Linked DNA regions of Canis lupus familiaris. The protein of the gene in region 1 interacts with the protein of each later gene in a biochemical or structural test. Links are inferred from orthologs where the notes say so. Each region holds a gene or a part of one and is shown in the gene's direction. Other genes may lie near its edges.

Region 1 (7,976 bases):
CAGCATTTATCCAATACAAGGAGCTTTCACCTTCTATGGCATTTCTGACTTCAGCCATTGGGAAGATCTGCATGATAGGACAAGGACAAGCTGCCCCCTTTGAGCCTCTGGGCCCCAGGGACTTCATAGAGTTCCATCTTACAGTTAGCAACACAAGTCTTTATTTCCTCCTCTCCCAGATATGGTTCCTCCAACTGGCTGTAGACATGCAATGTCCCTCCATGGGTCAGAGATCAGATCTGGCCCATCTACAGCGAGAGATGTCATCTTCTGTCCTGGGCACCCACATCCTATTGACCATAACCCTCAGCCTCAGCCTGCCAGTGATGGAAACTCCAGGTGAGATCGACATTCAGGATGTTGACTTTTTGAGTGGAAGTAAAGTGGTTTGTGGTTTCAGAGATGAGCTCCAGATACACTCTAATCCCTACCCTCTCCTGTTTGGGGAAATCAAACTCCCCTGGGTTTCTCAGGGTTCTGGTAAAAAGCTCTAGTAGCTTCCTGAGACTTTCAATATCCTGAGGGTAAAATCTGTAGTCATTTGTGTTGTCAGTTGCTCTGATCCAAAAGAATAATAAAACTTATCTCTTCCTCAGGGGCCTAAATGATGATAGCCTGTACAAGGTTCCTAGGTTAAGCCCAAAGGTGCCAGGAAGCCTGGGGTAGCTTCCTAAATGGGCCAACAGGCAACATGTAAGAGCCTCGTGTTTAAGAAGAAATGAGCTTCAGAACCTGGAGACAAGCCCAAAGACTTGTCATATTTAGAGTTTACTCATGCTTTTGAAATGCAATTCATTGTTTATCTAGACACTGCTTTGGGATTTAACATTATTAGAAGGAATGGGAGGTTCAGTTCATAAATACAACTTTTGTATGTAAATACAAGAATGCTCTGCTTTTTCTCCCCAAAGTCTGCATTTTCCTAGGATTTTGATCAAGCACATGAGAGTTAATCTATATTTCATCAACGAGACTTAATAAGACCATCTTTCATATTAATCAATTATAAGATCATCAAGATGATAGAGCTGTGCTGTCCTATGTTTTTTTTTTTTAAGACTTATTTATTTATTTATTCATGAGAGACACAGACTGAGAGAGGCAGAGACACAGGCAGAGGGAGAAGCAGACTCCATGCAGGGAGCCTGATGGGGGACTTGATCCTGGATCCCGGGATCACGACCTGAGGCAAAGGCAGGTGCCCAACCGCTGAGCCACCCAGGAGTCCCCACTGTCCTATTTGATAGCTACTATAAATATGCAGCTCTTGAGCACGTGCAATGAGGCTAGTCTAAAATGAGATGTACTCTAAGTATAATATACATACCTGTTTTCAAAGACTTAGTATGAAAGAATGTAAAATATTTCATTAATAATTTTTTAAAAGTAAGCTCTACGCCCAACATGGTGCTTGAATTTATGACTCCGAGATCCAGAGTCGTATGGTTTACCCACTGAGCCAGCCAGGCACCCCGCATTAATAATTTTCATATTGGTTACATGTCAAATGATAATATTTTGGATACATTGGGTTAAATGAAATATATTCTTGAAATAGAAAACAAAAACAAAAGGAAAAACCCAAAGATTTGAGCTGAGGTGTGTAGGGAGCTACCTGGCTCCTGCGGAGATTTAGTTATTTGCCAAAGAGTTGGAGTGAGAAGATCTTTAAGCAGGGGAGTGGAACAGGTGCTTTCTTCTCTTTGATAAGCAGGGAAAGGAAGTCTCCCTTGTTGCTCACCTCTAGGGTGTCTGGCTACCCTCATGGGGCAGTTAACTTGGCTCTCATCCTATCATCCTAGGGCACAGGGAGCCAGATGTTTACTATTTGCTAGGAGAGATGGAATAAGTCTGTCTTTGATCCAGAACACCTCGTGTGCACATTTGGGATAAAATTAATAAAAGTGAACATCAAAACCCAAGAGAGGCAAAAAAAGAGTCCAAAGAGGGAGATTATCACTGAAACCTAAGCAGAACCTCAGAATGTGATGGAGGGAGGGAGAAATGGACAAATCCAGTGAAAGGCTAAGAAAATGTGTCTGAGAGGCCAAAAGAGAAGAACCCAGTGAGCTTGTGTGTTTATTCATTCACTGAGTATTTTTTGGGCACCTGCAGTGTGCTCATGCTTTATTCTAAATTGGAGACAAGCAGTGTACAAAATTTATATTCTGGTAGGAGAGATCAGTAAAAAAAAAAAAGCAATAAGTAAAATATTGCTTGTCAGATGTTAATAAATGTTATAGGGAAAATAGAGCAGGGAAAGGAGATGTGAGAGTTAAAATCAGGGAGTTAGGAAAAGCCTCACTGAAAAGGTGACCCCGGGTAAAGATTGGAGGGAGAATAGGATGGGAACCATGTTTGAAGGAGTGTTCCAGGTGCTGGGGGGGGGGGTGGTGATGGGGGGGGAGGACAAGTCTGAAGGCCAAGGCTGGAGTTGGAGTGAGCAGGTGGGGAGGGCTGAGAGGAGAATGAGCTCAGCTTCAGCAGGGACTCGTAGGCCACAGTGCTGAGGACTTTGGTTTTCATCCTGAATACAGTTTAAACTGAGATTTGAAGTCTAAGCGTGTAAAAGCCCAAAGCTCTCAGGGCAGAATCAGCTTCTGGGCTACAGGCTATGGGTTCAGTCCCTTCATTTATTCGTCTGTCCCTCTATCACTCATTTCCCAAGCACTTAGGGAGGCCCACTTTGCCCCAGGGCCTGTGCTGGGCACTGGAGAGACCTTCCCCTCAACTTTGGGAGGCAGAAAACCTTTCAGAGTGGGCTGAGGTCCTGTCCGCCTGCAGGTGGAGCTGGTACTGTCAGTGTGACCTGGGAGAGCCATAAACTTGGGGAATAAGTGGGTGACAAGCTGGGGAAGGGCCACAGGCAGGGAAGGGGGAGGCTGGGGAATCCGTGGAGGTGGGGTGAGGGAGAAAGGAGAGACTCTTCCTAAACGTTTCTGTCTTTTCTGTGGTATGGGAGGCCCTGTCTTCCCGCTTGTTGTGATTTCTGGCTCCAGGCTGAGCAAGGGAGGGGACAGTGCGATGGGCCAGGACAGGTGGCCTTGACATGTGATGCTTGCCCGCTGACCACTCAGTCTTCACTTTTAGAACGGTTTCCAGAAGTGATGGCAAAGTGTGGGCAGGACAACTAAATATAGTCCTGGGGCCAGGGCTCAGTCTGGGAGGGTCTATCTACTATTCACTCTGTGCTTCCACCCGTGGTGTCCACTGCTGGCTTCGCCTGTGAGTCCCCTGCCCTTGCTCTGAGCTTGCTGCTTGTCCTTTGCCTGTCTTCCCTAAGGCTAGGCTTGACCTTGAGTGGGCCTCCTGGGAGTCTCTTTTTGCCCAAGATCTCCAAACAGCCCTGTGAGTCCTGTGGGTCCTGTGGCCCTGGAGATGTGGGGGAGGGGAGGCCTGGGGATCCTGGAGAGGTAGGAGGGTAGCTGGTGGGGGCTCTGGGGAATTTGGGGCAGGGGCTGCGGCCTGAGGCTGAGCTAAGGGAAAGTCAGTGGTTAAGACCACACCCTGGACTCGTGTTTAGGAACTGGGTATGAGACAAGGTCCCCGTTAGCCACTATTTTGGGGGCTGGGGCTGAGAAATGCAGCTGATACTTCTTTGGGGATGGAAACCGAGTCCCCCTTTCCTCTTGGCCAGAACCAGAGCCCCTTTCTGTCTGAGACTTGACGTCTTTATAGGCTGGGGATCCTCCCAATCTGGTCTGGCCCGGGGCTAGTTCGTGGCTCCGCTGAGCCTCCCTGACGGGCCTCTCCTCCACCCAGGTCCATCATGTCGGCCGCGCCGGGCCTCCTGCACCAGGAGCTGTCCTGCCCGCTCTGCCTGCAGCTGTTTGACGCGCCGGTGACCGCCGAGTGCGGCCACAGTTTCTGCCGCGCCTGCCTGAGCCGCGTGGCTGGGGAGCCGGCGGCGGACGGCACCGTGCCCTGCCCGTGCTGCCAGGCACTCACGCGGCCACAGGCGCTCAGCACCAACCAGCAGCTGGCGCGCCTGGTGGAGGGGCTGGCGCAGGTGCCGCAGGGCCACTGCGAGGAGCACCTAGACCCGCTCAGCATCTACTGCGAGCAGGATCGAGCGCTCGTGTGCGGCGTGTGCGCCTCGCTCGGCTCGCACCGCGGCCACCGCCTGCTGCCCGCCGCCGAAGCCCACGCGCGCCTCAAGGTGCGGGGATCGCGGCCTCCGGCGGAGCGGGGGGCGGTGGGACCGGATTGTTGGCCGCAGCGGGGTCGGGCCGCTCTTGGGGTCGCCGCGTTGACCTGGATTCGGAGCTTCTGGGCCCGGGGCGCCTGGAGGAGCGGGGAACTCCAGGGGGCGGGGCGAGGCCGCTCGGGAATGGGGACTGGCCCCGGAAGGCGGAGTCTGGCGGAGAGGCGAGCCTGGAACCGGCACTCAGGGGCGGGCGCTGGGGAACCCGAGCGGCCGGGGATGCGGGGGCCGCGGCCTCCGGGCAGAGCGCGCTGAGCCGGGAGGAGAACGCGTGCCTGCGGCCGGGGCGCGGGCGGGCAGCTGGGCGGAGGCTCCGGAGGCTGGGACTAGAGGGGTGGCGTTTGGGGTCGGGCGGCCGCCAGGCTGCTTCGCTGAGGTCCACGTTCTGCTCCGAGCCGCAGAACTTGCTTGTGTAGGCCCGAGGGGCACGTCCAGCGGGGAGGGCAAGGCCGGCCTGGCGACGCACCTCCGTGAGCATGCCCAGGTTGGCACCGCGACCCAGAGCCAGGCTGCTTTTCTGGATGGGGCTGGAAGTCTGGAACGCTTCCAGAGCCCACACACAGTTGTGCGCACCCCAAGGTTCGTGGTTCCCACGGGGGCCCAGAAGAGACACCCAGGCATTAGCAAATAGAGACGCAGACACACGCCGGCTCGCCCAGGTCAGACGTGTGGCAAATCACACGCAGTTGCTGCAGGAGAGTATGAGTCTAACACAGGCCCAGGAAGGTCCATCAGGGAAAATTTGTTGGGCTTCGGAACAATAAACGACAGGTGTGGGGGCGGGAGGAGGCGGGCTCTAGAGGGGGGGGGGGCTGAGGACTAGCCCCCGGGGTGGAGCTGCCCCCCTCTTCTCGCGAATAGGTGGGTTGTGCTTCAGCGGGTTATCTTTACCCAGGAACATCAGCGTTGCCCTGCTCTTCTGCTTGCCCCCCTCCCCTCTAAAGAGGGCATGTCCCTGTCCTCAAGCTGGTATTTGAGGCCCCCGGACCGGACTCCCCCCACAGGGACACAGCCTCAGCGACCCTCCCCCTCCTGCCTTGCCCAGTCCTGCCTAGGCCAGTTGGTGGTCTCCTAGACCAGTGTAGGAGCTTCCTCTTCCCAGGAGCTTTCCCAACCCAGGCTCACCTATGCTGGTAACCCCAGAACTCCCAATCTGGTCCCGAGAGAGAGAGAGAGAATGAGAGAGAGAGAGAGAGAGAGAGAGAGATCTGCGAAGAGGGAATAGAGTCTATGACATGGAACAGAGCACCAGGTGACCCAGGAGCCTTGAGGGGGCAGGTGGGGCGGGATACTTTCTGCCAGGATCTGCATTAGTCCAATCCTAAACCGCAGGGAGGCGCCGGCAGGAATTCTGAAGAAGGGACCCAAGGAAGGATCTGAAGGAGGAGACAGGAAGGCTGGGGCGCGGCTGAATGCCTGGGTCCTTGGCCACGAAGAAGGGGGCTGGGTCCAGAGACTGTGCACCAGGACTCAAGCAAGAGTGGTCGAACGGGATCTGCCGGGGGCGGGGGACGGACGTGACCGCCTGAAACCTGCATGCCAATGACGCGCAGCAGACTGCTTTGGGGTCCCAGGCATAGTGGGTTGGGGGCTGCCGTAGCGGCCCCCGCGCAACATTCTGAGAGCCTTTGTGCAGCGGCTCCCCCCCAGCTTCAGTTTGAACTTCTGGAGCTCATCTGTGGTCAAGTCGTTCCCCGCCGCGCCCCCTTCCCCAGCCCCCGCGCAGCCAGGAAGGCGTCACGCTTCTTCCTCATGGCTTAGTCCTGTCGCCCCAGAACCTCTGACGGCTCCATGCTGAGAACCACCAGGTCTGCCCTGTTCTGCAGCAGGCCGGGCGTGGCCCCGGAGAACGTCCCAGGAAGGAGCGTGACCTGGGGGCTGGCCAGGGGGCCATGAGCCCAGTGGTGCAATCCTGGGGCTTCCGCTCATCCCCAGAGCCTAGAGGGTCTCTCAGTTTCCCTTAGGGGAGTGGGGGGGAGGCCGCGGATTTGTCACACCACCAATGAAGTGAGGCAGACTGCTCCCATCCTGCAAAAGAGGAAGCTGAGGTTGGAAGGCACAGGGGCGGGACTGGAACCCTCCGATCCCTTTCCCCTGCAAAGGGGTGGCTTTGTCAAGAGCTCTTAGGAGTCTCCCTACACCTGCATTTCAGGATTCACAAACTGACAGGCCCAGGGTAGGATCCAGCCCACAAGTGTGTTTGGTGACATAGCAGACATCCCTTCCCTTCCCTTCCCTTCCCTTCCCTTCCCTTCCCTTCCCTTCCCTTCCCTTCCCTTCCCTTCCCTTCCCTTCCCTTCCCTTCCCTTCCCTTCCCTTCCCTTCCCTTCCCTTCCTTCTTTCTTCTTTCCTTTCTTCTTTTCTTTCTTTTCTTTTTTTGTAAGCTTTACCTCCAACCTGGGCTGGAACTCACCACCCAGAGTTCAAGAATCGCGCGCTCTATGGACTGAGCCAGCCAGGTGCCCCAACACAGCAGACATTATTAAATGGCCTGCCCCCACAGCCCTTGGGTGTGCAGGAAGGTTGACTGGGGTGTTTTGCTATGGTTCTGCCTTTTTCTTTTTTTTAAGATTTTGAGAGAGAGAGAGAGAGAAGGAGAAAGAGAGAGAGAGAGAGATTATGAACAGAGGGGGAAGGGCAGAGGGAGAAGCAGACTTTCTGCTGAGCAGGGATCCCAGTGTGGGACTTGGATCCCAGGACCCTGACCCTAACCTGAGCCGGAGGCAGACTTAACCACCCAGGCACTCTATGGTTCTGCTTTTAAGGATGGGGTAAAGCCCAGGGAGAGGAGGAGGTTGCATTTCTTCTTCATACATTCTACACTCACCCAGAGAGGCCTGCTGTGTGCCAGTGCTGTACCTCTCTGCTGGAGGACACCAAAGCACATTTGTGTTTGTCACTGTCACAAAGACCTGTGCCAGGGGTGCTAACTGCTGAGGGCATGGGACTGGGAAGGGAAGCCAGGGAGGACTTCCCTAAATAGACAATGGGAGGGTAAGGCATGCTAGACATTAGGACTAGTGTGAGCAAGGGCCTGGAGATCTGCACATGAGTTTGGGGAATGCTGAGATGCTCACCTGGCTGTAGGGGGAGCTGGCATTGAGGCTGAGCCAGAGAGGGTAAGTTTGGGGTGGGAGGTGTGGGGAAGGATCAGCCCCATCACCTTTTTGTACCTCACCCCCCCAGACACAGCTGCCACAGCAGAAACTGCAGCTGCAGGAGGCATGTATGCGCAAGGAGAAGAGTGTGGCTCTGCTGGAGCATCAGCTCATGGAAGTGGAGGTGAGGGGCTCAGCACAGCAGGGCCTGGGTACTGGGCATGGGGCTGGGGGGCTCGCTCAGCTCAGTCCTTTTGCCTGTCTGCTCCCACAGGAGATGGTGCGTCAGTTCCGGGGGGCTGTAGGGGAGCAGCTGGGCAAGATGCGGGTGTTCCTGGCTGCACTGGAGGGCTCCTTGGACCGTGAGGCAGAGCGCGTGCGGGGAGAGGCAGGGGTTGCCCTGCGGCGGGAGCTGGGGAGCCTGAACTCTTACCTGGAGCAGTTGCGTCAGATGGAGAAGGTGCTGGAGGAGGTGGCCGACAAGCCACAGACTGAGTTCCTCATGGTGAGCACTTGGATGACCTTCCCTCTCTGCTTCTCAGCCAGGGTTCAGGGGGTCTCTAGAGACCCCATCCCATTGTCAGACATGGACTTTGACATCCAGAGAGGGACAGGGACTAGGCCAGGTCGCACATCGAGGGAGACTGGGCCCCATGACTGCTGTTATGGTTGTT
Region 2 (7,389 bases), on another chromosome or scaffold:
AATTGAGGATTCTTTTACTTATTGAGAACAAATATCTAGGCAAAGACACTTATCGGTAGCTTGAAAAACTTAAAAATAGTGGGGAAAGGGTATAAAAATTCCTTCTTGGAACACAGGAAGCACCTAGTTATGAAACATGTTGTCTGCCATATTCTCAAGTCCTAAAGCACTCCTTAACATTACTTAAAAGAGAATAAAACCTATACTTCGGGGGGGGGGGGGGCTGTGTGTGTGTGTATTTTAAAGGTTTTTGATGTTGTTTGATAACTTTTCAGCTGCTAATCTTTTTGAGTAGAGCCTGTAATGCCAGTGTGACAGAAGAACTCCCAGGTCCCCACCTGCAGGTATCTGCAAACAGCTGTGGGCTACTTTTCTGTGGTTTAGCTACTTGGAAACAAGCACATGGCCTCTGTAAAGTATCAAACATTTCAGCCACAGAAATGCCTTAACATTCTCTGCTTAAAGATCACCCTTCTGGCCTTGAACTTGTAAGAAAGGAAGACTTTGTGGTAGGGAGGTTGGCCATTTCTGAGGATATGCAATTTTAATGCCAAGATGTGGGTAGTTTGTTTCTTCATGAAGGTTTAGGCAATGCTCATTTCATCTGTTGACAGAGGCAGCGTGGTGGATAAGCCCAGGATTGAAACCGAGTTCCTTGGGCAAGTTACCTACCCACCCCCACCCCGTGCCTCAATTTTCCCAGGTGCAGTATGGAGATAGTAATGGTACCTCGCTCATTGGCTATAGTGACCCTAAGAGTGCATGTAAAGTACTTACAAGGCTTGTAGTGCAGACTGTCCCTGCTACCATTCCTGTGTTAACTCCTCTGCTCCCAACTCATGGTGTTTGTAAAACCTGCCCACCTTCTCCTCTTGTTTTTTTTTTCTTTTGAGTTTATTTACCTTAATTTTTTAGACTTCTGTTTTATTTAAATATTTCAAACATGTGCAGAAGTAGAAAGGACATTCATAGGAAAATGCTATTTTTAAAGGTAAAAAAAGCAAAATGTCACTTGATGTATGAAGAGTAGAAGTTGTAAGCCTATTACCTTGAGATAACATTTTAGATGTTCTTATGCACACGTACTGTACATAGTTATAATTCTATAGAGCATACCTTTTTTTTTTAAGATTTTTTATTTATTTACTCATGAGATAGAGAGAGAGAGGCAGAGACACAGGCAGAGGGAGAAGCAGGCTCCATGCAGGGAGCCTGATGTAGGACACGATCTGGGGTCTCCAGGATCATGCCCTGGGCTGAAGGCGGCACTAAACTGCTGAGCCACCTGGGCTGCCCTAGAGCATACCATTTTATGGACTTTATCCTCTGACATTAGGAAAAGAAGTATAGGGCAGCCCCCGTGGCGCAGCGGTTTAGCGCCGCCTGCAGCCCAGGGCGTGATCCTGGAGACTCGGGATCGAGTCCCATGTCGGGCTCCCTGCATGGTGCCTGCTTCTCCCTCTGCCTGTGTCTCTGCCTCTCTCTCTAGCTGTGTCTCTATGAATAAATAAATTTAAAAAAAAAAAAAGGAAAATAAGTATATTTTATTCTCTAGTCTTTGAATAGTTTTCAGTGGTTTTATACCATGAATAATTACTGATTTGTTGAACATGTTGCTTCCTTTTTAAAAAAATAATTGTAAGTAAAATAGCAGTGTGATTGAGTTATCTTGAAAGGTTATTTTTGTTTTGCTTTTTTGATTAGGAATCTCTGCATTTATTTTCTGGTGTATGGGAATCGTGGTTATTTGGGAAGTTAGCTTTATGAAGGAGAAATAGCTCCAGTCTGTGTAATAATACCAAGTCTCTTTTACCTGGGCTCAAGGTAAACAAGCTCTGTCAGTACCTGGTGCATGAGAATGGGACTATGCTAGACATCCTGGGACTCTCCGTGACATTACTGTCTAGACCTGAGCTTATTTAAATATAAATTAGGGAAGCCTGGGTGGCTCAGTGGTTGAGCTTTTGGCCCAGGGCATGATCCTGGAGTCCCAGGATCGAGTCCCACATCGGGCTCCCTGCGTAGAGCCTGCTTCTCTTTCTGTTATATTTGTAGGGTTTTCTAAAGCAGAAGATGACAAACATTGGCTGCCTGGTTTTGTATATAAAGTTTTATTGAAACACATCCATATCCATTTGTGGGTGCTTTTGTGCTACAGTGGTAGAGCTAAATGTTGAATACATGCAACAGAGTCCAGATGTTGCCCACAAAGTCTAATTTACTCTGGCCATTTATGAAAAAGTCAGTCAATCCCTTTTCTCTAGACCAGGATTTCTCAGCTTCAGCACTATTGAATTTTGGTCCAAGTAATTAGGTGTTGTAAAGGGCTCTCCTGTGCATTGTAGGATGTTTAACAACATCACTGCCTCTATCCACAACGGCTGGTACACCACCTGTCCCCTTTCCCCATCCAGGTGTGACAACTAAAAATCTTTCCAGACATTATAGGATGTCTGCTGGGGAGCAAAATCACCCCTGGCTAAGAATCACTAAGCTAAATTGATGTGGCTTGACCAAACATTCATTTATAATACTGCATAAAAGTGCTCACTCTAAAGGGGAAAAAATATGTTAAGAGAGCAGAATAAATAAAAGAATAGTTTTATGCTGCTATACTCTAGCATTCCTTCCAGAAACAGAAATTTTTCTATAAAACATGATAGAGTAACTGGACTAGGGCAGAGAGCTGGAAGCACTAAGATTCCACAGTTTACCGTCTGCTGAGCAGCAAATAGAATGGAAGTTATAGCATCTCTGAAGTGATGGGAACATGTAGTTTATTTTACAGGTTTGCAAGGCCTATTTCCTTTATAAAACACTATATGACGGCAGAGTTCTTGTTGACTCTGCTGTGTGTGTAAATGTTATCCGTGTATACCCAGCACCTTGTGCTGCATCTGGCAAGAAGGGAGTTAGTAAATGTTTATTAAAATGATTGTCAATAAATTCAATAAATTGGTACTTCTCTGTCTTATTATCTATGATTTTAAGTGGCCTATGTAGATTCCTACTTTCATTAGCCAGAAGAATTTAAAAACCGGTTCTATTTACCTCCATTGAAGGTGATGAGAATTGAATTAAACATCAGGCCTATAAAATTGTGTTCTTCTGAGATCTGGTGCTTGAATACTTTTCAGAGTGGGGATTTTCAAATTTGTAGAAAGAGGCAATATTAAGAGACTACCCATTTTGTAAGGATATAGAGTGGTAGAGTTTTGGGGTACACATTTTAATTAAATGATGTATGTACTATTTCTGAATTCTTGGTTTAAAACATGGAGTGAATTCAAATTGGGATGATTGCCTTTGAAAGTGGAGTATCAGGTATACCTTTATTTGGTTCTTTAAATTAAAATTAAATATTAAATTTTAAAATTGGTATCAAAAGGAATATGTTATAGAGATCACATGTAATGGAGCACACTTTTATGGAACACTTTCATGTGGTTGATTATTTCAGAAGATAAGCGGTTTTGACTACTGAACTCAAGTGAATTTTAGGTGACTTGTTTTTTTCCATGCATGACATATTTCTGTTTGTTTTTCAGATCTTACCAATATATTTGAGTCCTTCCTGCCCCAGTTGTTGGCCTATCCCAACCCCATAGATCCTCTCAATGGTGATGCTGCAGCCATGTATCTCCACCGACCAGAAGAATACAAGCAGAAAATTAAAGGTAAGAAGGCAAATAGTTTAACCTGGAGACAGAAAAACTTACATGTACTGGGCTTTCATCATTAAAAGCCCTTCTTAGTTACTAATAATTTTTCTCAGGCCTTTAAAGAGACCACTGTCTGTGGGCTGGAGCGGAGCTCACTGGCCCCTGAATGTCCCAGCAAGGAAGAGGAGAAGGAGCGAGAAAGAGCAAAAGGAAAGATGAGAAAATGGGAGACACCTGTTGGGTGGTGGTACATGTAACCCTGCCGGAAATCCCCATGGACCTCTGTACAAAAGAATCTTAGCCTCCATTTGTTTCCTCTTGTCCTATAAAATTAGAAAATTGGATTCGAGAATGAAATATTAATTGAAGGGCATAATCTCACATTTGTTTACAGATAGTATCATCCTGGCCTTTCAGAAAAGCAGTTAACTTTGGAAGTTGGGAAATGCCAAATTTATCCTTATACTTTTTTTATTGTATCATTTTACCTGTTGAATTAAGAATACCCAGCTGGCTTCTTTTCTTGGCCCCATACTGATTTTCTTTTACTTTGGAAAGTTTACATCTGGGCACATTTATCTGCTGTAGATACCTAGCCCCAGGGCCCAGCTTTCTAGTAAAACGTGAAATGTACTGTTCAAAGTTAGAAGTGTGCTGGTAGTAGTAGTGCTAGTTTGTCCATCCTTTAGGATTTAGAATCCTACTATTTTCTCATTCTTAAATAGTTTACCTGCTAATGAGACATAAAGTTCATTAAAATGAACTTTTGGTTTCAAGAGAACATCTGTAGCTTCACCCTGGCTTACTGGTGTTCATTTTTATTCTGCATGCTTGAGATCCTTCATAGTGAAAAGTCTAGATAAAGTTCCACCAGAAAGGAAAGGAATTCAGAGTCCATGAAAGTAGGTCTGCTCTTCTTACCAAGTGACAGGCATTGGTATTTACCTAATTTTTAGCATGACTTCTGCCAATTGTGTGGCCCCTCTGGGGCCCATCTGCGGGAGATGGCAGTAGGAATAATTTACGAGCGCCTGGAATATATAGGTCTTCCCTCTTAACTGTGCTGGTATGAGACAGGCACATCTCACGCTTTCCTTTTGTTTTCTCATTCTCCCCTGATCTTTGTAGGGTACTGTTTGGCGCTTCTGTTGAGATAAAATAGAAATAAATCTACTCTAATTAATTTACTTAAGTCTCAGGTATTTTGCAAATTAATACCTAATTTATGTAGCAGAATATCTGTATAGCCAAACAAGTATTTCAAAGGAAAAAAAGTCCATTTCAACCAGATAAAGTTCTATTATGAGACTGTGTTAAAATTGTGACACAAACATCACTTAACAGTATCTGCAGCCCACAGATACCTCATTGCAGAGCGTATTTCTCTAGTTCTTACATTCATTGTGCCTCAGCAACATGATTCTTGTTTTAGTACATATCTGCTCTAGCACCAATTACAAAAGGAATCCAATCTACATTTTTTTAAAGATTTTATTTATTTATTAGAGAGCACGCACACGTAAGCAGGGCGGGGTGGGGCGGGGAGGATAGAGGGAGAGAGAAGCAGACTCCCCAGTGGGCAAGGAGCCAGATGCGGGGCTGGATCCCAGGACCCTGAGATCATGTGTGACCTGAGCCAACCAGGCACCCTATGTTTTTATTTTAGAATGGCAAGCTCTAGCTTAGGGAATTTGAGCTTCCTGAAATGTCAGTGTTGGCTATCATTTTGTCTTCCTGCGTAATGTGAAAATCAGGGCTGATTGCTTAAACACGCTCCCCTGGCCCCCAGCCTGAGGTTGTTCTCCCAGTTCTCCTGCACCCAGCCTGTCAGAGGCATCCCTGCTTCAGAAGCCTGTGTCTGCTCCCATGGACCTCTTGAGGAGTCCTGTTCTTTATTTCCTGTCATTTTCAAACTCCTCACTTCCTTGCCCTAAACTCCTGAGGTCTAGTTTGTTTTCCCTCCTCCTGTGTTCTCATTTCTTCCTAATCATATGCACCCTGCTCAAGAACCATTTTCCAGACTTCTCTGCAGCCTTGCTATTTTGCCCCTTCCCTTCCTGAAAACCTTTCTCATTCCATTCCCAAACATGGTCAATGGTCATTCTTTTAAGATTCAGTCATTTAACCCACCCTCACTCTCCCTCCCCACTTGGGGAGCTGATTCACCCTTCACAGCTACCTCCAGGTAGGTGATTTCCAAAAATGTGTCTAGATGGGCCTTCTCTCCCAGGCTGCTACCAGACATTTCCACGCTTGGTAACCTTTCTTACTGTGGATTTTAGTCAATGTTCATATATAGTTGATTTTTTAAATTGTGTAAGTATGAGCTGCCTGTAGGATAGGACACTTGCCTGCTTAGAAACCTTTACTGAGTGACATCTTAGCCTGCCATTCATGGCTCTCTCTCACTGTGTGGTGAGCTCCATCTTTGCCTTTACTCCTAAATGTATCACTATGTGACCATCAAATTGGATGAGTTTGCCAACTATATTCCCTTCCTTAGGGAAAGTTGCAACCCTACAAAAACAAACAAACAACAACAAAAAAAACCCAGAAAATAACTTAACCATATGCTCACCATCTAACTACAGCAAGACCTATACATTTTGCCTTATTTGTTTCAGATATAAACATAGTTCTCAGTGTTGTTTTAACCTCCCGGCCATGGCCTTCTCCCTTGTGCTTTTGGCAAGGCTGTGCATTCCCCTGGAGTGGCATGTCCTATGCTGCAGCTAAGAATTCCTTCCAGGGTCAGGTCAGGTGTGCCTGGCTTCCTGGCTCTCAGAGGCCAGGGTCCCTTCCTCCACACTTCCCTCCGGTGGCACTAACTGCTTTTATCTGCATCTGTGTCTCCTGCTCATTAGTGACCTTGCTCTTTATTCTTCTATCTCCTAAAAACCCTTGTCCTAGTAAGCTTAGCACTTAAGACCTATTTATTTCCTCAAATATACTAAAGAGGACTAATAGTATCACCTTATAGCGTCAGAGAGAAATATCAAAGTGCAGCAGCTTTCTACAAATGCAGGGACATAGCTGACCCAGTAGAGGGTAAAAATAACATTTCTAAGACTGTAATAAACATTTCTCTCTCTTTGAAGAATAAATTCAGGTAAGTTCTTACCTAATCAGAAGCTTTTAGAACCTCATCTCCACATAAAACTTTATTATAATGAGTTTGTAGGGTTCTAAGAAGTCTACAAACTTTTTCTCTAAAGGGCCAGATTTGGCCACAAATAGAGTCTCTGTCACATATTCTTTCCTCCCCCTCCCCCCCCCTTTTTTTAAACAACCCTTTAGGGACTCCTGGATAGCTCGGTTGAGCATCTGACTTCAGCTCAGGTCATGATCCCAGGGTTCTGGAATTGAGTCCCACATTGGGCTCCCTGCTCAATGGGGAGTCTGTTTCTCCCTCTCCCCCTGCCACTCCCCCCACCATTCATGCTTGCTCACTCTCTTTCTCTCAAGTAAATAAATAAAATCTTTAAAAATAAATAACCCGAGACTCCTGGGTGACTCAGTGGTTGGACGTCTGCCTTTGGCTCAGGGCGTGATCCCAGAGTCCCCAGGATTGAGTCCCATGTCGGGCTCCCTGCGTGGAGCCTGCTTCTCCCTCTGCCTCTCTCTCTGCCTCTCTGTGTCTATTATGAATGGGTAAATAAAATCTTTAAAAAAAAAAAACAAAAAACAGGGACGCCTGGGTGGCTCAGTGGTTGAGCATCTGCCTTCG
Region 3 (7,981 bases), on another chromosome or scaffold:
CAATCAGTCAGAGATTGCCAAATGGTGGTGTCTCTGCTTCTGTTCCAATGATTTTAATAAAAGGCAAGGGTTGACTTTCAATTTTTAGATGGCTGTTTTTTTGGAGGGCTTGGAGGGTTTTGCGAAAGAAACAGTGAGTGGTTTCAGGAAGTGGTGGTGTCTTCATTTTCAGGTCACAACTGAAATGATCAGTCGAAATGATTCTTTCGACTTAGGTCCAGCACGCAAGTCCTTGTCCTGAAGGATTTCCAGAGGACAGCGTGTTTCCTTCCGCGTGGTTTTCAGCACACGCTTCCTGCCTGGGAATGTGGTGATTTTGGGGGCTCCCACGGGTCAGAGGGAAGCCCACAGCTCTGGACAGGTTTGCACAAGAAGGAAGGGGAACAACATTTATTGAACCTACAATTCTTGATACTCTGGGACTGCAGCTACTCTGTGTTCTCTCTGGGTCTATGTTTGCCCCATCGCAGATATTATTGGAAAGAAAATCAAATTATGTCAGCCCTTTTGTGTACACCTTCTAGTAGCTTCCCATTGCTTTTAGGATGAAGGTGTTTTGGGAGAGGGCTTAACATGATCTATCCAAGGCTCTTCCCCCTTCTAATTCTGCCTTTGAGTCCACCTTTGCTTGCTTGACCTCCCTCTAGGCTCCAGCTCCAGTGCCTGGGTCAGTTGGGGGAACACCTGCCTGTCCACCTCTGGGCCCCTGCTCATGCTGGGCTCCCAGCCTGTAACACTTCCCTCCTGTCTTCCTTGGCTGACTCCTCCTCATCTCCAGATTTCAGCTTCAACTCACCTCCTTGGGAGGATCCTTTCCCTACGCCCCACCCCCACCCCACATTAGGCCCCAGGATTGTTTAATCAAGGATCCCCTCTCTCGCCAGACTGTGAGGTCTACAGGGAAACTGAGTGTGTTTATTTTGCTCACTGTAAATCCTCATTACTTATTATTGCATGTTGGTTCTTCCATTCAACAAATATTTATTAAGCAACAGATATATCAGGCGCTGGGTGTAAAATAGTGAAGAATTTCTGCTTCATGGAGTGGGGAGACCATACACAAAAAACCCAAAGAATTTCAGGACAAACTAGAGTGATGTAAATAACAGGGACCAGAACAAAGGGATGGGGGGGGGGGGGAGGCGGCGTTTGCAAAGTGTGATCAGGGAAGGCTCACTGGGGCACCGAGGGGCAGCCAGCCACTGGAGGGACAGGCGGAGGGAACAGCCAGAGTGAAAGCCAGGAGGCAGGATTAGGTTTGGTGCCTTAGAGGAACAGTGGGCTCAGCTCCTGGCTAACTAATATTTGCGTAATGGACCAGGGGGAAGAATGAGCGCCCTCTGCCTAGAATTGTGCCGGGCGCTTTCTTATGCTTTATTGCTCTTGCACCTCGTCAAATCGGACCGGCAGGGATTGTTACAGGCATTATAGAGCCGAGGCCAACCCAGCCAGAGAGTAAAGTCCCACGTCCAAGGCCACACAGGAAGTGAGGGGAGGGGGAGCCAGATTCCACTCGGTGCTGGCTTTCTATACCTAAGGCTCCTTCCCCCAGCTCAGGAAGGTGGCTTGGCTGCTATGGTGCCCTATTCGTGAATGACACTTGCTGGACATTCAGACACACACAGGGACTGTGGGTCTGTGTGTTGAAAACGGGGTGTGTCCACCTGCGCTGGAACCCGGCTCCGTGGGGCCTGGTTCGCTCTTCTGCGAGGTTCTGCACGTTGTCCCAGGTGTCTCTTCTCCGACTTGCACCCCAGGCCGCGCCTGAGGCCCCCCTCCCTCGCCCCTGCCACGGAGCACACGGAGCGCCCTGGGCGCGCGTGCACGTGGCCGTCCGCAGGGCCCCGGGCGCGGGGCGGGGGCGCCCTCGCGTCTAGTCCGAGACGCGCTGGCAGGACTGGGACGAGGGTGACGCGAGTGCAACATTTACGGGAGTACCAGAAACCCCAGGGACCAAGATAAACAGCGTTTTAATGAAATCTTAAAAAAAAAAAAAAAAAATCAAACCGAACCTCCCAAAGTCCACAAGGGAAACGAAATAGCGAAAAATGTTACGGAAGGGATCCGTCCGGATGGGTCGGCATCGGGGGCGCCCCCGAGGCCCGAGACGCCGGGGCGCGGGGCGCGGGGGGCGGGGTGCGGGCGCCTCCAGCGCGGGGGGCCCAGGCGAGGGCGGCGGGCGGGGCGGCGCCTCCCCGCGGCCGTCCTGCCTCCCCCTCCCGGGCCTCTCCCGGGCCTCTCCCGGGCGCCGAGTCCCTTCCGAGTCTCGATCCGCGCCGCCTTTTCCCGCGACCCGCGCGGGGCCCAGCTGACGGGCCGCGTTGTTTACGGGCCGAGCAGCCCTCGCTCCCGCCGCCCGCCCGCCGCTCGCCAGCCCAGGTGCCCGCCCGTCCGCGCGTCTGTCCGTCCGCGCGTCCGTCTGTCTCGGCGTCCGCAGATCGCGGCCCAGCGCGCTCGGGGCGGAGAGCCGGGCGGCCGGGGCGCAGCGAGGGGCTCCGGGCCCTGAGATCGCGGGACGGGCCCCGGGCCGCAGGGGTCCGGGTCGGGGCCGCCGCCGCCGCCGCCGCCGCCGCCGCCGCCGCCGCCGCCGCCGCCGCGGGATCTGCAGCGGCCGAGGCCCCGCGCCCCTCGGGGGCCGAGTGGGGGCCCTCCCGGGCGGGGCCGCGGGCGCGGAGAGGAGGGCGCGCGCCCCGCGCCGCAGAGCATGACCCCCGCGGGCCGGCGCCGCGCGCTCTGAGCCGCCGGGACCCCGCGCTCCCGCAGCCATGGGCGCCCGGGCCGGGCGGGGGGCGGCCGCCGCGCCGCTGCTGCTGGCGGTGGCCGCGCTGCTGCTGGGTGCCGCGGGCCACCTGTACCCCGGAGAGGGTGAGTCCGGGGGCCCCGGAGGGCGGCGGGCGGGCGCGTGGGGGGCCACCGGGGACCCCGCGCCCTCCCCGGCGCGTGTGGGGGCGCGGGCGGCCGCGGCGGGAAGCCGCTGACCTTGGCCTTTGCCCGCCTGGGCTCGCGGTTCTGCGCCCCGCGTGCGGGCCCCGGCCCCGAGGAACCTTGCCCCAGTGCCCGCCCCGCCGCGGGCGCCCCTCCCGACGCGCCTCGCACCCGTGCCCGGCCCTCTCCAAGCCCCGCTCGCCCGGGAGACGCGACCCGGGTGCCCGCTGGGTCCCCGGGTCCGGGCGACCTGGGGGCACCGCATGCCGCGGGCGCACGGGGTCCCTCGGGGTCTCTGCGGATGGGCGCCCCAGGCGGGGCACTGCAGAATCCCACCCCTCTGCTTGGACCTAGGCCGGTGGCTACCCGGACTTCAGATCCATGTTTACACTTTTGGGTTCTGTTTCCAGATGTCCGGAGGCAAACTCTAGCGCCTTGGCAACAGGGCCTTTGTTGTAGCAGAAGGGGGCGGGGGGGGGGGTGTTGTCTTTATTATGATTATTATAGTTAGGGTCACCGAATGCCCCGGACTGATCTCTCTGGACCTTCACAGTGGCCTCCGGAGGTCCATACGCGTTACCCATTTCATAGAGGAGTAAATTGAGGCTGAGGTTAGGAGACGGTTCGATTTGCCCTAAAGTCAGGGCCAGAGGGAGGACTCTAACCTCTCTGTGTGGTGCCCTGGGGAGGCTCTGGACTGCTGCATGTCCTATGTCTCCCCATAACCCCCACACCCCCCCCTCCAGCTCTGCCTTTCACAAGGGCTCTTTTACCTGCCAGTCCAGGGAGGTCTCTAACCTCAGGAGAGGCTCTCACACCCCCTAGCCCCATGGACTTCCCTCCCCAGCCTCCCTGCGCTGGCAGCAGATGGAGGCAAACCCCAACTCCAGCATCGGCCTTGGGCTTGGTAGCCGTCCTTTCTGCTTGTGGGGCAAGAAATGAAGAACCTTTAAGAGAACATGGCTGGAGTTCCCCACTGGTGTTTGAGGCCCCACTTTAAAAATATCTGTTGGGTTACTTTTTCAGAATTGTCCATAAAAGGAAATCAGTCATGGTGAGGAAGGGGTCGGGGAGGGAAGGAAAGCAGCTCCTGAGCTCCCTGATGGGGAATGAGGTCCCTGGCAAAGCACGCACAGGCTCTGGCGTTGACAATCCAGGTTTGCGGAGCTCCTCTCTCAGTTACACCACGGTTCCGAGGCCCAAGTGCTTGGTATACAGCGGGCGCTCAATAAAGGTGGCAGTCGGCTTGAGTTCTTGTTAAGAAACTCCAGACAAATGTTAGGACTAGTCTAGGATTTGTGTATGTATGTATGTGCGTGCGTCTGCACACGTGCATGTGTGTGTGTGGTTCCCTGCTCTTCTGTTCCTTGTAGCTTTGGTAATTTATTGTGGACTTGTGCCTGGGCTTGCAGGGCCCAGGAGGTGGATTTACCGCTTCTTTACATGTTCACAGTTTCCACAGGGGTAGAGGCATATACTTCTTTTGTCCACTGCGATGTTTCCAGAGCCTAGAACAGTGCCTGGCACATAGAAGGTGTTTGGTTAAAATATTTGTTCTTGGTTCAGCTCATATTCTTCGTGTTCTCACCAGTACTCCAAGCTATGGCTTTTTCATTCCTCGGGTAATACCCAACTTAGACATAGTCATAAGAGCAAGCTCTTGGCGGGGGCTTTTCCATGTGCTCCGAATATATAATCTTAGTTAATCCCCACCATGGCCTTGTGGGGTGGGGTTTATTATCATTTTTCCCAGGTGAGGCAGTTTGACTAGGCGGCAGAGCTGCTGAGGACCCTACTTGGCCTGATTTCTTCATAAAAGGTGGCTCTCTTGGGTTTGAGCTTCCCTCCCACCGACCTGTGGTAATGGTTAACAAAATCCTATTGAATAAATGAGATGTGATGCCCCTCAGAGGTTCGGAAACCTCGAGAAACTTTACAGATCATTAATCTCTAATGTCAGCCTGTAGGGCGTTTTGGTTGGGGTGGTGGCGGTGTGATGTTTAAGAAGTGAAGGACTTTCTTAGGGGGGGATGTCCTATGGGATGTGCTACTTTGGCCCGCTCTCCTGTGGAGTCCCTACTGCTCTGCTGAAATGGGTAGTGTCTCCCCCCTCTGTTTCTCCTCGGACTGGCTGGCAGTGGCCTGAGATTACTTGGGGGCATTGCAAAGTTAAAGGATGAAGGCAATGTGGGATTAATTAAAAGAAAAACCTGCGGGGCTTCGGGGGGAGTCCAGCGAGTTGGCTAATTAAGGTGAGAGAGGCTCGCTTCCAGAGCGCCCTGGTTTCTCGGGCACTCCTCATTTCACAAGGGTGGCCTCGGATGTCTCTCTTGTGTGTCCTCTTGTGTGCTTTGGGGGCCCTCGGAGCAGGACTTTTGCCTACTTCCTAACCTCCCTGAGGTTATTCTTAACTTTTGCTTCCCTCCTGGAGCCCTGCCCGCCATCCTTGTCCCACTCACTCATGGAGGTCATTGGGGTGGGGCTCCCTGGGGTCCCCACTGCAGCCCACTCCGTCAGTGACTCAACCTGGATAGAGTAGATCCTCTCAACTTCATCGCTCTTAATATTTGGGTTGAGACAGTTCCCGGTTGTGGGGGGGCTGGCTGTCCTGTGTATTGTGAGGAGTGGAGCCGCATCCCTGGCTTCTCCACCCACAAAATGCCAGTAGCACGTCCCTCCCTCCAGTCATGACAATCAAGAGTGTCTCTGGGCATTGCCAGCCGCCCCAGTTGAGAACAGCCACATTCAGGAAGATAACTTTTTCTTTGTCTAGGACACTTACCCACCTGGGTCCCTGCTCTCTTTGTTCCAGGATCAATACCCCGCCCCTCGACCCCCGGCCCACCACCCGCCTCCAGCCTTCCCCTGCCAAGCCTCCCCGGTGGGCTCTAACCACCCTCCCTCTCACCTCTGGCCCACTGTGCTGCCCGCAGCATCTGGCTAATGTCTCCATCGCTTTGCTTTGCCCATGGCTCTTGTGAAGGTAATCCCTCACCTCCCAAGTGCGTCTCCTGTCGCCTCACCCCAGCTGACCTCTCGGGGCCTGCCACTGTCCACTCCCTCCCCTCGGGGAGGGCAGGAAGGCACGGTTTCCTGCAGAGTTTTCACCTGCACCTGGCTCTCTCTCCATCCTCTCTGCTCCCTTCCCTGGGCTCAGATGTTAGCTCTTTCTTCCTAGAGGGCCAATCCCTACTGCCATCCACTCTCAGCCCAGTTGTGAATTTACGTAGTCAGACTCCTTCATCTAGAACAGGGGCTATCAAACTGTGGCCCACAGGCCAACTCCCGCCTGCCCACACCTGGTTTTGTGAATAAAGTTTTATTGGCATCATCTTAACAGTTGCTTTTGTGCCCTAATGGCAGAGTTGAGTAGTTGCAATTGCATGGCCCATAGAAATGTGTATATCTTGGCCCTTCTCGGGGAGAGTTTTGGGACTCCTGATTTATGACAGACTCTTTGAGGATCATGATGACATGCCTAATCGCTTGCGTGGCCCCTGGTATGACATGAGTGCATCACGAATGCTTGGGGATGCTGTGGCGTGTTCCCCTTTACAGAGACATGTACGCTCTCTGAACATATGGGTTCCAACGGGGAGAAAATACCATGATGTCCCCTCCTTAGCTGTGTCTATGGTATCAAGATTTATTTATTTGCACAGTCATCTTGGCGTTGAATGAGGATCCCTCGCTGTCGGCTTTGTGTCTAGAACTCAAAAGAAAGTGGTGTCTGCTGTGCGATTTTCTTTCAAGACCCCTGGTGTTACTTTCTATTAAGAGTACATACATTAGGGGCGCCTGGGTGGTTCAGTCCATTAAGCTTCTGCCCTCGGTTCAGGTCATGATCCCACTGTCCTGGGATTGAGCTCCGCTTCTGCTCTGCGGGGAGCCTGCTTCTCCCTCTCCCTCTGCCTGCTGTTCTGCCTGCCTGTGCTCTCTCCCTATTAAATAAATAAAGTCCTAAAAAAGAATACATCCGTGAGGGGCGCCTAGGTGGCTCAGTCAGTTGAGGGTCAGACTCTTGATTTGCTCAGAGCATCATCTCAGGGTCGTGAGATCGAGCCTCGGTGCGGGCTCCCTGCTCAGCGGGTAGTCTGCTTGAGATTCTTTCCTTCTCCCCCTGCCCCCCTCCTCGCTGCATATGCATATCTGCTCTCTCTCTCTCTCTCTCTAAAATAAATAAATCTTCTAAAAAAAAAAAAGAATACATATGTTGGCTTATGTTTTGCAACGGGACCCTATTTATGGGTTTTTAATTAAAATAACAAGTAATGCATGCTCATTGCAAAAAAATTTACAAAAACCTGGAGAGGAAAAAATCAAAGTCCCCCTGCAACACTTTGTCCCTAAAATCATGCCATTTCTCTCCTGGGAAGTGACTGTGCTTTTGTTTGCATCTTAAAAATTGCGTGTGTGTGTGTGCGCGCGCACAGTTATGTGAATTTTAACCTTCTTTTTTAAAAAATGTATTTATTCATGAGAGACACACAGAGAGAGGCAGAGACACAGGCAGAGGGAGAAGCAGGTTCCCTGCAGGGAGCCCGATGTGGGACTCGATCCTGGGTCTCCAGGATCACCCCCTGGGCTGAAGGCGGTGCTAAACCGCTGAGCCACCCAGGCTGCCCAAGTTTTAACCCTCGGATAGAGTTGTGTGACTGCCCCCACACTGGGATACAGAACAGTCCCATCACCCAAATTCCCTCTGGACACCCCTTTATGGTCACACTCTCTCCATCCCTAATCCCAGCAACACTGTTCTCCATTGTTACTGTTTTCTCTGTAGACTTTAAAACATATCTTACAACTGAATTAATATTTTTAAGAAAGATTTTATTTATTGGAGAGAGAGAGCACGAACATGAGTGGGGGAGAGGCAGAGGCAGAGAGAGAGAGAGAGAGGGAGAAGCAGACTCTCCGCTGAGCGCACAGCCCGCGGGGGGACTGAGTCCCAGGACCCCAGGATCATGACCTGAGCCGAAGGCAGACGTTTGACAGACTGAGCCACCCAGGCATCCCAACACTCGGCATTTTTAATTTAAGCACTCATAAGCTCCTC

The links.
Region 2: the proteins of TRIM72 (region 1) and UBE2H form a complex in vitro, tested with the Homo sapiens proteins (2 studies listed by BioGRID). The link is inferred for Canis lupus familiaris from reciprocal best matches to the Homo sapiens genes TRIM72 and UBE2H.
Region 3: the proteins of TRIM72 (region 1) and INSR form a complex in vitro, tested with the Homo sapiens proteins (2 studies listed by BioGRID). The link is inferred for Canis lupus familiaris from reciprocal best matches to the Homo sapiens genes TRIM72 and INSR.

What each region holds. Positions count from the first base shown.
Region 1 is NC_049227.1:17,196,956-17,204,931, reverse strand, and holds the start of TRIM72 (tripartite motif-containing protein 72), read left to right. Parts: upstream 1-3,078; 5' UTR 3,079-3,225; exon of another isoform or gene 3,226-3,348; intron 3,349-3,762; 5' UTR 3,763-3,769; coding exon 3,770-4,159; intron 4,160-7,390; coding exon 7,391-7,486; intron 7,487-7,576; coding exon 7,577-7,807; intron 7,808-7,976. UniProt on the Homo sapiens protein: Muscle-specific E3 ubiquitin-protein ligase that plays a central role in cell membrane repair by nucleating the assembly of the repair machinery at injury sites.
Region 2 is NC_049235.1:6,861,866-6,869,254, forward strand, and holds part of UBE2H (ubiquitin-conjugating enzyme E2 H), read left to right. Parts: intron 1-3,548; coding exon 3,549-3,677; intron 3,678-3,775; coding exon of another isoform or gene 3,776-3,783; exon of another isoform or gene 3,784-4,025; intron 4,026-7,389. UniProt on the Homo sapiens protein: Accepts ubiquitin from the E1 complex and catalyzes its covalent attachment to other proteins. E2 ubiquitin conjugating enzyme that transfers ubiquitin to MAEA, a core component of the CTLH E3 ubiquitin-protein ligase complex.
Region 3 is NC_049241.1:52,555,088-52,563,068, reverse strand, and holds the start of INSR (insulin receptor), read left to right. Parts: upstream 1-2,785; 5' UTR 2,786-2,865; intron 2,866-7,981. UniProt on the Homo sapiens protein: Receptor tyrosine kinase which mediates the pleiotropic actions of insulin.